2 linked regions of the Alligator mississippiensis genome follow. The protein of the gene in region 1 binds, or shares a complex with, the protein of each later gene. Links are inferred from orthologs where the notes say so. Each region holds a gene or a part of one and is shown on either strand. Other genes may lie near its edges.

The links. The genes of interacting proteins can lie anywhere in the genome.
Region 2: the proteins of meprin A subunit alpha (region 1) and FETUB are in contact, whole or in part, in a cryo-EM structure (PDB 7UAI), measured with the Homo sapiens proteins. The link is inferred for Alligator mississippiensis from reciprocal best matches to the Homo sapiens genes MEP1A and FETUB. Residues at the interface, in NP_005579.2 of Homo sapiens: Asp126, Gly127, Cys128, Trp129, Ser130, Glu131, Val132, Gln145, Gly146, Cys147, Tyr149, Ile152, His155, Glu156, His159, Tyr164, His165, Gln167, Ser168, Leu184, Gly186, Tyr187, His189, Asn190, Asp192, Tyr194, Tyr214, Gln215, Phe217, Ser218; in NP_001362516.1 of Homo sapiens: Phe109, Phe110, Lys144, Lys145, Tyr148, Met149, Thr150, Cys151, Pro152, Asp153, Cys154, Pro155, Ser156, Ser157, Ile158, Ser196, Ser197, Gln198, Trp199, Val200, Val201, Gly202, Tyr205, Phe206, Thr242, His245, Trp246, Phe249, Val250, Ser251.

What each region holds. Positions count from the first base shown.
Region 1 is NC_081824.1:13,690,412-13,697,130, reverse strand, and holds the start of meprin A subunit alpha, read right to left. Parts: upstream 3,759-6,719; 5' UTR 3,721-3,758; coding exon 3,652-3,720; intron 3,564-3,651; coding exon 3,539-3,563; intron 3,396-3,538; coding exon 3,342-3,395; intron 1,753-3,341; coding exon 1,712-1,752; intron 1,593-1,711; coding exon 1,517-1,592; intron 1,177-1,516; coding exon 1,059-1,176; intron 1-1,058.
Region 2 is NC_081830.1:82,927,406-82,934,124, reverse strand, and holds the start of FETUB (fetuin-B), read left to right. Parts: upstream 1-2,764; 5' UTR 2,765-2,869; coding exon 2,870-3,091; intron 3,092-6,719. UniProt on the Homo sapiens protein: Protease inhibitor required for egg fertilization.

The sequences.
Region 1 (6,719 bases):
ACTGCTTCAATTTAGGGCTGATTAAACCCACATGTCATGCACACACACCGCTGATTTACCTGCCTCCCTGGCGGGGAGGGGAGGGTGAGCTGCCAGCGAGTGGAGCGGTCCCTGGGCTGTGGGGTGGGGGTTGGTGCTTCCCTCCGTGGCAGTGGCAGCAGCAGCACCCCCCCCCCCCCCCCCCGCTGGCACCTGCCCGCTGGCACCTGGCTTGGGTGGTCCCAGGGGCACCACAGCCATGGAGGGAAGCACCGGGCCCCTGCGCAGCTCAGACAGGCAGGAAGGCTCCAGGGGTTGGGGGAGATCAGGCTCACCATTTTTCCTGCCTCCAGGCTGCTGCCAGGCTGCTGCCTGCACGGGCTTCCTGCAGAGCCCCTGAGTTGCACGGAGCCTGGTGCTTCGCTCCACGGCTGTAGGGGCAGCAAACTAAAAGTCCTAAAGGAGTTTTAGTTTGCTGCACCCCAAGTCTTTTAAGGCACATTACACCACCAAATTTCCTTCAATGGCTGGAATTACTGCGCAATATGCTGCCCAGGTGTGCAAACACTGACACTATTAAAGCGGTACAAAAGCATTGAGCCTGCTTTAAAGCGTCATGCACACACACCTCTTTTTTTGTCTACACACAGCCCCAGATACGGATGTCTTGAGCGCGCTAGAGGGATGCTCGGTGAAGCATCTTCATTGGCATACTTCCAGGTTTGAAGTGCCGCAGTAGGTGGGCAGAGCAGGGAATGGCGGGGCTAGGGAATGCTGCTATATACATAACTGGTAAGAGTGAATAAGAACCTCAGTTCTTTCTAGCTGCCTCCATCATGCCCTGTGATCAGAAGACAATTTATACACCGGATATAATAATGATACTTCATTATCTTGAACTTTCATCACTTCTTTTCTCCCAAAGATTGCAAAGCCCAAACTCTGCCTCTAAAAAGGCCTGCAAAGAAGTTAAGGTCGGTAGGGCTCCAGAAGAATCATACCACCTACTATGACAATGGTGAAGCAAAGTCATGTAATAAAAGTTAAACAGGAATCTGGGACTTTGACATAACACTTACCCACTGCCTTGCTGGAAGAGTATGTAGGTTCTCTCTCCTTTGTACGGTTTGAAATCCACACAAGACTTTAGGCGAAACATTTCAAAAGCTTCAAGAATGACTCCTTTGGCATTTAGGTCTGGAAAATATATTTCAACAACATACCTTTAATACGTAGTAGGTGACAGATCAGTAATACACATGGTCTAGATCTCTATATCTCTGTGGACATATATTATATACGGTGCATGCATTATGATATACCTCCAAAAAGGATCAAAGCTTAAAATGACAAGTTTTATATCTGTCATGGCTGGGGAAATGGGTTTTGGCATACAGGTTGCAAGTGTTTATTAGCATATTTTTAAAAGTCTAATCTCCTATTGTTTGCCATTGGGTCAAACTCTAGTGTCATGATGCCTCCAGTTGGGCCAGGATTTCATCCCAAAATCTCAAAAACAAAGCACAGTCTGCATTACTCAGGTCATCAGCCAGAATGTAGGGAATGGGGAACTTCCATCGATAGCTCTCATTTCTCAGGGCATTACGTTCATTCTGTTAAAAAGAGAGAGGAAGGTTAATAGCCAGTAATGCATTCCTTGGGAGAGCAAAATGGGTTTTATAAGATGAATATCAGTAGGATAAATGATACCCATCTAACTGAAAATACTTGCAGGCAGTAAGATATCCCCCTGGAAGAGGTCCAGTCCAGCAGCTGAAAAACAATTCAGAAAAAGATGATTTAAAAATCTTAAACGTGGTGTTTTAGATTACAGAAAATGCTAGAGGTGCAGAAGTTGATTTCAAGACCTCAAAGGACATTTTCAGATTATTATTAGGATCGGTTTCTGTTTCCAAGCAAACAAATAGCAGATTCCACTACCTGTATCGCTGCATTGCTAAAAAGCACACTATTGTAGGTTGGTGCTCCATCATTTTCCATGCTGTACTGCATTTGCCAAACTATAGATCGCACCTATTCAACTGGCAGACTAAAAGGGGTTAATCTGCAGCCACAAAGCTCCTGCTTGGCCACTGCTCCCTCTATTGCTCCAGCTGCAACAACAGCAGCCAAGGGCTCCAGGCTCCTTCGTCCTATTCCAACTGCTGCCTCCCACCTCTGTCCCCTGCCCCTCACAGTGTGACACATGGGGTGGGAGCAGAACGGGAGTTCAGGGCCACACAGGCCCTTGGTTCTGCATTTCGGAGGAGGTCCTATGTGGGTGTATGGTGCATTGGCGGAAGGGGGGCCCTGCATGGTACAGTGCAGAGGACTATGCAGGCATGTGGTGCACTAGCAGAGGCATCCGTGTAGCCCGGGGGCCCTTAAAGCTTCACAAGATTGAAAATCCTCTGGGTTCTTAAGCTGATAGTTCTAAAGATGAATGGAATGAATGGATACATATCTATCTCTATTCTATTCTATTCTATTCTTTTCTATTCCACTCACCCTTAGAACAAGCAACCTAACAATATAATGAATATTAGATATATATAGCTATATAAAATATATGTATGCACTTCCTCAGCCTGGCGAAGGGTGTTTGTACCCAAAAGCTTGCAAAGAAGAATTTTTCCAACTCTTTTAGTTGGTCTAATAAAAGATATCGGATTTACCCAAAGAACCTTGTCTGCCAATGTATGCACGTGTGCATGAATGTACGCAAAGTTGGATTACAAGAAACAAAAAGATGAGATGAGGGCGCATTTTATTGGTATCCTTCCACATCATTTCCATACTAAGCCTTCAGATATATGGCAAAACACTAAATTATTTCCTTCTCTATAGAAGCCGTTGACAGAGCAGGAAAAAAATGATTGCTAGCTTGCAAAACCATTTGTAATGGGTACATCAGGGTACCTCACTATGAGCCATATCCTCAGCTAGTAAAATACGATTTACTTCATTGTGGATTCACAACAGCTGTGGGTTGGTCCCACTAGCACCAAATCTTCAGAAGCCCTTATGCTGCCCTAGTGAATATTCACTCGTGTCATAAAATTACTACCCATTTCAAAACAACCTGCAGTTTTCACCTAGGAGAAAGCAATGGCTTGGAAAGCAGGCATGTTGCAAGGTGAGATTCAAGAGTATTGACCAAGCTACTAATAATGCAGAATCTCACTCAGACACTGCCTGCATCACCTCTACTTATTTTCCTTGATATCACTGTCTACTCTTCCTGGAATAAAATAAATAAATACAGCTTCTACTTCTAAATTTTCTACTCCTAATATTTGAAAACACCCACCAGCTTACAGTGTTCTCACAGAGATTGAAAGGGGATGAGAAAAACTACCTACCTAAATTTATTTCTGGAATATCTTTCCTTAGTTCACCAGCATCAGCATCAAAGGCTGCAAGAAAAATATATGAAAAGGAAAACTTTTTGTAACCAACAGGACAGGCGTGGTGCCCCAACCACCACCACCCTTCTCCCTCATTCCCAGAAAATAACAGAAAATGTGCTGGAACATGCAATAGTTTAAGCAGCCCTTACCATCTTCCCTTGGGTGCTGTTGAACCTGAAAGAGAGCAAAATATGCATTGCATGAAGTGCAGAGAGCCCAAAGAGGGAGAGGGGGAGCTGGAAAAGTAGGGCGTAATACTTACGGAGAAAGGAGTGCAATGGCTGAAAAAGAGTGTCAGACACAGGCAGGAGAAGATGCAAGTGGAGGCCATTCTTGCCGTGGAAGAAGAAAACAGACCCCGTAATCTCTTAGAATTTATAAGGCCGTTCTCTGAACTTTGCCCAGAGTATCTAGCAAGAAACTTTGAACTCCTTATTTTTACTCTGAGAGTTATTAAACAGGAACCTTTTTTTAAAAAAACATTGCTTGTGGCAATATCATAATTTGCCTAAGTCCATGTAAAAAAAACCAAACATTTAACTGGGAACCCTGATAACTTTCAATCCAAATGATGAAAAGCTGGAACAGTAAGCAGTCCTGAATTCTGCCCAGAGTTAAATCAAGGGACTTATCTCTATTGTTGATTCTCTCTGTCGCGTTTGCTGTCTGTCAATACTCTGGGTCAGATTTTGCTCTTAGTTACAATGCCATAAACCTAAATTAACTCCAGCTGCCTGAGCAGATTTACATCCCTGGGGAGTGACAGAATTAGTCTTTAAATTGTTTTCAATTAATAATTAACACCAAATTACAGAAGCTAGAGAAGAAAAAAAAAAACTGATCGCCAATGACCTCAGGTCCAATTTTAGGGATTTTTTCCAAAGCTGTGTCCATTCTAGAGGTTAATGACTGTATTGTTGGGGGCTTCCACCAATTCCCTCGGGACACCGTATCACAGTTTAATGACTTTCATTGGTGTTCATCCTATTTTTTATTTTCTCCAAGGGTGTCAGTAGGAAGTGGGGCTTTGCATGTTGGGAGAGAGCAGTGGCAAGTCTCTGCATCATGCTCAAGTGACAGCCTGAGAAGTCTCCCTATGAAAATCTGTCCCATCTGTGCCAACCTCTTTCTATGTATGGCACTATCAAGTATGGCCAATGACACCCTCGCTGTGCAGGGATTTGGGTCAGTGGGTACATGCTGTAGGTTAGAAGCATCTGCTGTAATCTCTTCTATCTCCCCCAGTGGGACTTACCGCAGCAGAATATAGTATGCCTTTAACAGCCTTGCTGTCAGACAGTCTGCATACAAGCTATGCAAAACATTTATGTTAGCACCTCCTAGCTTGCCCTTGGTATGAAATGGTTAGCCTCCCTAACTGTATGTTTTTTCTTCTTTTAGCTTGTTAACCTTTGTTCTACATTTGCTGATTGTCTTAGAGCCAAATGGTTTGGGATAGCCATACAGGTTGCCTAAATGCTCCCATTATCAAACCTTTTTTTTTTCCCCAGTTTCTCTGAACGTCCTAAAACTTTCACTTTTTGAGTGGAACATTTCCAGGCTCAATTTCTGAGTGAGAGTGAACTTGAATAAATGGACCTGACTTGTACTGGTGAAAATCAAGCCTAATTCTATTGAAGTCATTGGAAATATGTTGATATAGCCTTGGATAAATGAAAGGGGTTGCAGGATTCTATGAAGTTCCTTTTACACTGGTTACACATAGTATTTAAGAGCTCAGAAAATACTATGTGTGTACATAGCTGTTTAAAAAGTTCCATTTTTACTGAAAGCTAATTAAAGCTATTTAAAATTTTTTTTTGAGTGGTTCCTCTATACAGCCGTATGGGTCACTTTTTTTTCTGGCTACTTTTTTAGCAGAACTGAAGTGTAACACCTTATTAGCCCAGGCTGGTGAAAACTGAAATATTTAGCTTAGTATCACTAGAGAGCATTCTCTGAAGAAGTCACACATTTGGAGAGCTGCAAGTCTACACTGGACAGGGCAAGGATTTAGTTTAATTCAAATTGTTCCTACGACAAAATGTAGGAATGTAGACAAGGTGCCTTCTCCTACCTCTGTCTGACACTAACCAACAGGTAAGTAATGTAAGTAATTGGAAAAAAATATAAGCAACTCTAAATGCTAAGGAAAAACAGCACTGAGGGTTTTACCAACAAAGAAGCCATTTCCAGCTCAGACAGCTTACCCCAATATTTGCTTGGCTTTGGGCGCTGTATGAGCTTCTGCAGAGCAGTAAAACTGGAAGTTGATTCCTTTCCTCAATTTTGTTGCCCTTCTCCCTTTCCCTTCTACCCTGGGGCTGTAGAAATGTAGACTCCAGCCAACTTCTCCCCCATGCTCAACCAAAGGAGATCCATAAAGGATTGAATGAGAGAAGATATCTTCCAATGTTTTCCAGGAAAATGGCTTTCTGTCCAGCAGACCACCTCTGTGAATGAAGAGTACCAAAGGAGGAGGAGGAGGAGGAGGAGGAGTGGGGTCTTCTAAGAGATCACATGATACCTCAAACATTACCTCCCAAAGAGTTGAGGAGGAGCCACACAGATCAGCATGAGGGTCCAGGCTCTACCCCAAATTCAAAATGTTAAACAAGACAACTTTTTATATCTGAAACTAATGTGGCCTTATGATTACTCCAGCTGTAAGACAAAAGTTACTCTGACAAGCTGAGAAGGACTCTCCAAAAACTCAAGATGAACCAAGGACAAAGGGGCATAAGGAAATATAGCTAGCAAGGTAACTAGCTAGCTAGCTAGCTAGATATACTTGTTAGTACGAGGAGAGGTCTGTGTCGTCCCCCTCTCCACCTCCCCAGTATACTAATACTAATACCTAATACTGTGTTGGCCTGTTTTGAAGCCTATATATATGGAAAACCACAAATCTCTTTAGCAGAAGTGCCATTGTCAGTAAGGATGCTCCATGGCTTCTTAGCATAAAGAAACATTTCAAGGGTTCACCCTCTAGAAGCAAAGGGTTAGAAGGAATTTCAAGGGCTATGCTGAGGGTGAGTGCAGCTGGGCACAGGCAAATGAAATAGTGAATCAATAACAGAGGATCCACAGGTGTGTAGCATCCATAACATAAATGCATGTGGAAAAGGAACAAATATCTGCAGCAACACAATATAAAGCAATCTGAAAAAACCTGACCGCTAAATCTCCTACACTGAGAAGCAACACAAGACTATAGATGATATTTAGTATTCTTAACATATCTATCGATGTATTTGGGATAATAAAGTATAATGTTTATAGAGCCACATCATAGTACATCAGTTGGATACTGCATTTTGTATAGAGTTT
Region 2 (6,719 bases), on another chromosome or scaffold:
AGGAAAGTGCTCCCAAACCCAGGGTCAGGGCAAGTTAGCAGTGAGCAATTCAAGGAAGGCTGTGATGCTGTGTCTTTGCCATGCCTGTCACGTGGCTCAGGGGCTTGGCCCCCCGGGGCTGCGATTCCCGTGTTGTTCTCCATCACTGAGACAGGGGATGGTATTTTCAGTAGAACAAGTCTTTGCCCTTGCATTGCACACTTCCTTCCCAGCACCACACAATCAAAGGCCCAGGTCTGAAAACCAAGGGCCCCCAGCCCGGGAGGTAGCCCTAATTAAGTAGGCTGGGACTGATGGAGTGCTGTGGGTGGTGGGGCAGGGAAGGGGAGAAAGGGGCACAGTTTAATCAGAGAGTCTCATGTGCAACTTGTCAACAAAGCTTTGAGGAAAAACCTTATTTAAAAAACACTGGGCTCCTGGAGATTTGCAACCCCCCTTCCAATATTCTCCCTCCCAAACGTCCTGGATGGAAGTGGCCCAGCCTCTGGACAGCTGTGCTTGACTGACTGACTTAAGGAAACTCTCTGTGGGCCAGACTGCTCTGGCCCATTGCAGGGAGCAGGATGGAGATGTAAGGGAGCTCACTGCATGGAGCTGCCTCGCATTGCAGAGTCATCCAGCACATGTGAGCAATGGAGCCAAGGCTCTGCGTGCTCCCCATGTCCTTCACAGTGAAGCATTGTCGGGGGATCTCCGTAGCAGTCACCATGCTCTCTCAAGCCACTGGGGTGATGTGTGGGTCTGCTCCTTCCACCCTCCTTCCCTTAATCGTGTGGCTGCCTCTGGGTCAGCCCCCAACTCGGGGCTCTTTCAAAAGGATATTGCTCTAGAAAGGATCTCCCTGGCCTCTTGCTGTTTCCATTTTGCAACTGGCCTGCGGGTTAATAGGTGAGTAGTGAGTGACTTCTTGGTTGACAGAAAAACCTCAAAAAGTCAGCAGAGGGCTGTGCAAGTCACGTCAAGATTTTATTTAAATGCTCTAGCTGCTGAAAAGGAAAGATGCCAGAGCACCACTCAGCGCTGCTACTTAAGACTAAAATAGCAGCACTGCAGGAACCATCTGCGCTAGCCCCCAGCCTGTATCCATATATGCCACTGCCGTGATATTCCTGTTACACCCGCGACAAGGCTGAGACAGGCTGTGTCAGCACTTAGAGGAGTCAGTCTGAGGGGCACATTCAGTAGGTGTCCCTGCTGCCTCTGAGTGACTGTCCCGGTACTGAGGTAGGAGGTCAATAAAACTGCCTTGGAATGAGATGGAAAATTGAGGGGGGGTACCAGGATGCCAGATTTAGACATGGTGAAAGGAGCTGTGGCTCTGAAAGGAGCCCCTGGATTAAATGCAGGAATAATGCAAATGGTCGTATGAACCAGTGAAAAAGTGGGTTAATGTGCACAAGCAGCATTTCCAGCATCAAAGTGGCATTAAGAAGTGCGCGAGAAAGACAAGTGTCGAAGGGGTGCGAGGTAGAATAAGCACCAAGTCACTGACTGTAGGCTGCGAGATGAAAAGCTCTTCCCTTCATTCAGCTTTACACTGTCCTGTGAGTAGCTTTCTCTGCCAGGCTCTTCCCATCCAAGCTTTGGAACAAGGGTAATACTTATCAGGGCAGGTTACACCCCCTTGCTCTTACACTCTCTTTCTGGGCTGCTCCCCCATCCTCACTGGGTTTGGCCAAAGTTAATGAAAGTTTTCGTTACTATAAGTCTTGTCTTGATAATATGTAAGTGGCAGAATGCCCCAAGAGGACGTTTGCAGGTGTCTGTCCAAGCAGCTAGGATAGGAGTGGGGAGTGGGGAGGTGACGGGGGGACTTGAGCAGCCTTCACTGCCCATAGAGGGCCAAGGGCTTGTGTTGGCTCCTGGGGGAAATGGGGGTGTCTGCAGGACAGCTCACCTGGGACTGCCACATGAAGTGAGAGGAAAGTCAAATAAAGAAAGAGGGGTGGGAAAAGCAGGAGGCTTTCAGGTTGATGAGAGGTGGCTGGAGGGAAACAGAGCACACAGGGGGACAGTACATAGGTGTGGAAGGATGATAAGAAGGATGTTAGTGGGCTGGTAGCTTTGTACACACTGAGGAAGATGTTACATAATCTGATGTGTAACCACACAACCTGCCCCACTCATCTTCCTATCTCCTCCCACCTATTGCAGCAGCTCACTTTGCATCAGATCTCTCCATGGCATTCAAGCCCTTTGGGGCAGAGACAGTGCCTATACATCTGGGAAGCACTTCTGGATCACTACAATAAGCACGTATGGCATCTGGATCACTACGATGAGTTATAATGAAACTAGTGGAGAGTTCTGCTTGAAAAACACGTTATGAATCCTGGGTCTCCTTGGACATGGCTTTTTTTTCCTATGTCAACTTTTAGGATGAATCCAAATCAAAGTCTCTCTCTCAAAGCCCGGCAGCTGGATATATATATCCCAGGGAGGCTGAGCACTGTCATTAATGCACATTTAATTTAACAAGAGAAGTGCAAAATCAGTTACCAAGATGGTGGGCCCGGTCCCATTCCTGGTAGAACCGGCAAGAATTTTGTCACTGACTATACAAATCACTGAGGTGAACTGTCCGAGGTGAACCTGCCTGATGAATTCCACGTAAGAGAGATCCAGCTAAGAACACAATCTAGTCTATAAACAGCCACCTGACTTATGTACAATCTTCTAATCATTGACTTAGTGTTTGCAGTTGCTCTGTCTGCAGTTGAAAGGTGATGGTCAGTAGGCTGTATAAATGGGACACTATGGGTATAAAACGTCCTGAATCCATTTCAATAGTCTGTTCTTGTGGGCTAGCCTTGGCTTCCTTGTCCTGACTTCCAAGTGCAATCCCTTGCAGCAACTGTTTTCATGCAGAATGGCCCTGCTTATTTTGCTTTTCCTTGGCATACAGGCACTGTGCTCCCAGGCTTTCTCTACTCCTGTGAAGGAACTGCAAAGTCCTTTCCTCTTCCCTGCATGCAATGACTCAGCAGTGGAGTCAGCGGTAGATGTGGCTCTGGGCCAAATCAATACTGGACGAACCGAGGGCTACGTGCTTAGGCTGAATCGAATTTTCAGCGTCCTGGAACACCCCCAGGTAAGCAACCCTTTTGTGCTCTGGGTGTTTTGCAGGTGGAGGGAATTGCTGCCCTGTGTCTGAACATTTTCCTCAGTTCATATATTCATAGAAGTTAGGGGCTGGAAGGGATCTCATGAGATCATCAGGTCCAGCCCTCCTGCTCTTAGACAGGAAAGAAAGGACTGCTGGGGTCAGATGAGCCCAATGTAAAAGGTTAAAGGTTTATGGGGTTCAGGCTTGCACACAAACCTGAAGAAACAGCTTCATGAGCTACTTGAGCACCTGGGAGTGGAGCATCAGGGTTGATTCTCTGCTGCAATGAACCTTGTGCACTTCTGTGCAAAGTGGGGGTAAAACCCCACCACTCCAAGTTCAATACAATCTTGAAACCCACCTGGCCCAGGGGTAAATGAATATACCAGATGCAAGACAACAGTGAACTGGGTTCAGGGAATCGCTGCAACTGGGCACTTAGGAAAGACTGAATCATCAAAACAGCTTAGAAACCATCTCACGTGCAAACACCACGTTGGATTTCTTTTTTAAAAATATAACGGCCTCGCTCTCTTTTTGTGAAAGTTTGCATGGCAGTAGCATCCTGGAGCCCCAGCCAGAATCTCTGTGATGCCAGCCTATAATGTGTATAATGGTCTAAGGTGCTAAGCATTATACAAACATGTCATTAGCATTCCCTGATGCAGCTGTTCACTAACATAAGCTTCTCTCTGTGTTCGTTTGCATTGTTTTAAGGCAAACAGCCTGTGGCATCAGAGAAGCTCAGGCGCAGTGCTGAATATTTACAGGTTTCCCACATGTGTTAGGATTTGTCACCATTTCTCCTAACTAGGGCCCAGCTTCTCTAACAATCTGCACAGGAAGGTGCTGTGGCTAGATTTACCCTCAGTAATCAGAACCCTTGACAATAAATATGCATGCATGTTCCAGCATGCTTAAGGCCAAATTCACTACTCCTCCACATCCCCACACAGCGTAGGTGGGACAAAAATGCCTAGGAAGTAACTGGATCAAGCCTGCTGAGACTTTCTCTGCTGGAGGCACTCTCAGCTGCCACAGAAACAGCAGAACCCAGTCCTGCACTATCTGCTGAACTGGCCTCATCATCAGGGGCATATCAAAGCTGTTGATGGGTAGGCTGTGGGTGTAGCTACAGCATAGTGTGCCCTCGCAATCACCAACTGGACATGACCCATTAGGGCCTACTACTCTTGGCATAAATTAGAGCAGTGTGGGCAACCTTTTCAGCAGGCATGTCACAAATTAGCCTCGTGCTATCTCCGTGTGCCACTCTGATCCCAATCTCCTGCTCTCCTTTCTACTCCCTGCCTTGTATGCCTAGCCTGATCTGCTGCTCTGCTCTCTGTCCTGTCTGCTGCTGGGCTGCCTGTCCCCTCCCTGATCTGCCACATGCCACGCACAGAGGCTGCCTGTGCCACTTGTGGCATGTATGGCATAGGCTGGCCACCCCTGAATTAGAGCAACCCTGGGCTACTCTAACCCATATCAGAACTTGTGCGGATGGCCCAGGAGGTACTTGCTCATTGGTGGGTCCTTCTTGCTTCACCTGTGCCAAACACTGCAGTACAAAATGGTCATAGAATAAGAACTCCTGGATACACACAGAGTCCAGGAAGTCTGTTATCCCATGAGATGCTGCATGAGGTCAAGGACTTCCAGGTGGTGGAATAGGAGCAGGCCAACCACAAAGGCAGCAGTAAACTATCACCTCTGTACAATAAATACTTGTACACAGGTTTCTGTAAATAATAACAGGTTGTTTCCAAATCACAAGCCTCCAGATTCTACACAAGAGACAATGTGGAGCTCAATTTTACATATGGTCCTTCACTTGCATCCCTTGATATTTCCCGTATTTCCTTTAAGGCACAGCTTGTGTCTTGCTTTGTTTGGTTATTTTCTATTTTGACTTACTCTTATTTCCCTTTGTTTACAAAAGATACCAAAGGAGGTGCCCCCAACACAACCTGGAATAGCAGAACAGATCAGCTGAACCTTCTGTCACACGGGTGCTGCTGTGGGAATGGAATATATAATGCGTATTTGAATAGGCCATGAATATTCAAACATGCTAATAGAGCCCTTGGAAGCCTTTGTTCCTCAAAAAGATTCAAGGAATTGACTTTTTGCTGTCAGTCAGTAGAAAAAATATATTCTCTCTCCTCTTCCCCCACCTCATTTTCTCAACCAATAGCTAGGATGACAACTTTTCCAAAACGACTTCTACCCTAAGCAAACTGTGGCTCAATATTGCTGTAATTGAAGTCAATGAGAGTTTAGTCCCTGACACAAGGATGCTTTCAGTCAGAGGAAATGCTGAACAAGGCACCTCAATGATAGGCTTTTCACTAGCTTTCACCTTGTCGTTAGCTTTGGAGATGTATTTCCCTTTTCTTTGCAGCATGTCCCCCTGCCTACTTCAAGGTGTGTACAGAAGTTACACTTTTTTGTGTAATGAAGCCACCAAAAGTGCTCTGAAGCTATAACATAAATGTTCAGGGCTGCAGAACTCTTTAAAAATGGCAGATTGCATGAAAAGTGAACCCTCATCTAATGTAGTATTAGATGAAGGGGCTCTAGGGCAGAGCACCCTACCGAACTTATGTACAGGTTTGCATTGAAGGTTAATTTGGGGCCATTTTGCCCACATCCCAGGGCCTTTGAGGGGCTGTCACAGGGAGGAGACAGAAAAAGCTCTGTCTCCTCCCTGTGCAGCTGGGCGAGACGGGAGGGAGCCCTGCTAGTGCACATGGACCCTCCTCACCTTCCCCCCCTCTCCCCCCCACCAGCTACCCCTGCTGGGGCCTTATGGGCCAAGCCTGCAAGGTGGGGGCTGTGTCTCCGCCCCACCCCCTGCCCCAGCTCTAAGCATGGCAGTGAGGAGGCTGCCACTGTCAAGTGGCTTATCCAGGGGAAGGGCGGGGAAAGGAGCTTCCCCTGGCACATGGGCCCAAGCCAACCCCTCCCAAGACCCCAGCAGGGGTAGTTTGGGGGGTTGCATGGTGAGGGATCCATCCTCCGCCCCCCAACCATTGCTGATAGTTGTTGCCAGCTGGCAGGGGGTGGTGGGGCTGGTAGCCTCCTGGGAGGCTGCTGGAGTGCCTCTGTCCACTTGCCAGGTCTGCTGTAGACAGGTTGCAAGCCCTCACCTGCCCCGCAATGACACTCTATCCATGGCACTTTTGTGTAAAGCACCATAGTCAGAGTGCCTCCCCAACGGGCTGCCTAAACGTCTGCACGCACACCAAGTTGCCCCCTGTGGTTACTAAAACCCTCCTGGTTCCAGGACTCTTCAGCAAACACTGGGCTTGGGGCTTTGATGTCAGCAGCATCAAAGCGAGGGGCCCAGAGCCTCTTCAGAAAACAGGCATCAGGTGTTACTCAATGCTGAGCAGATACCAAAGGCTCTTCCTAATAGTCTTGTAAGAGTGTAAATAAGAATGGTATCCTCTGAGATCTGCTCAGCACGAAATCTTGAGCTATCATTTCCCCAGTGGAGGCCAATGGCTCTGAAAGTGAATAAAAAAAGCTGACACAGGTTGTACCATATACTCAGACCCTGTCTATGTATAAGAGCTGGTCTGACACTGGAGGCCTGGAAGAGGGAAAT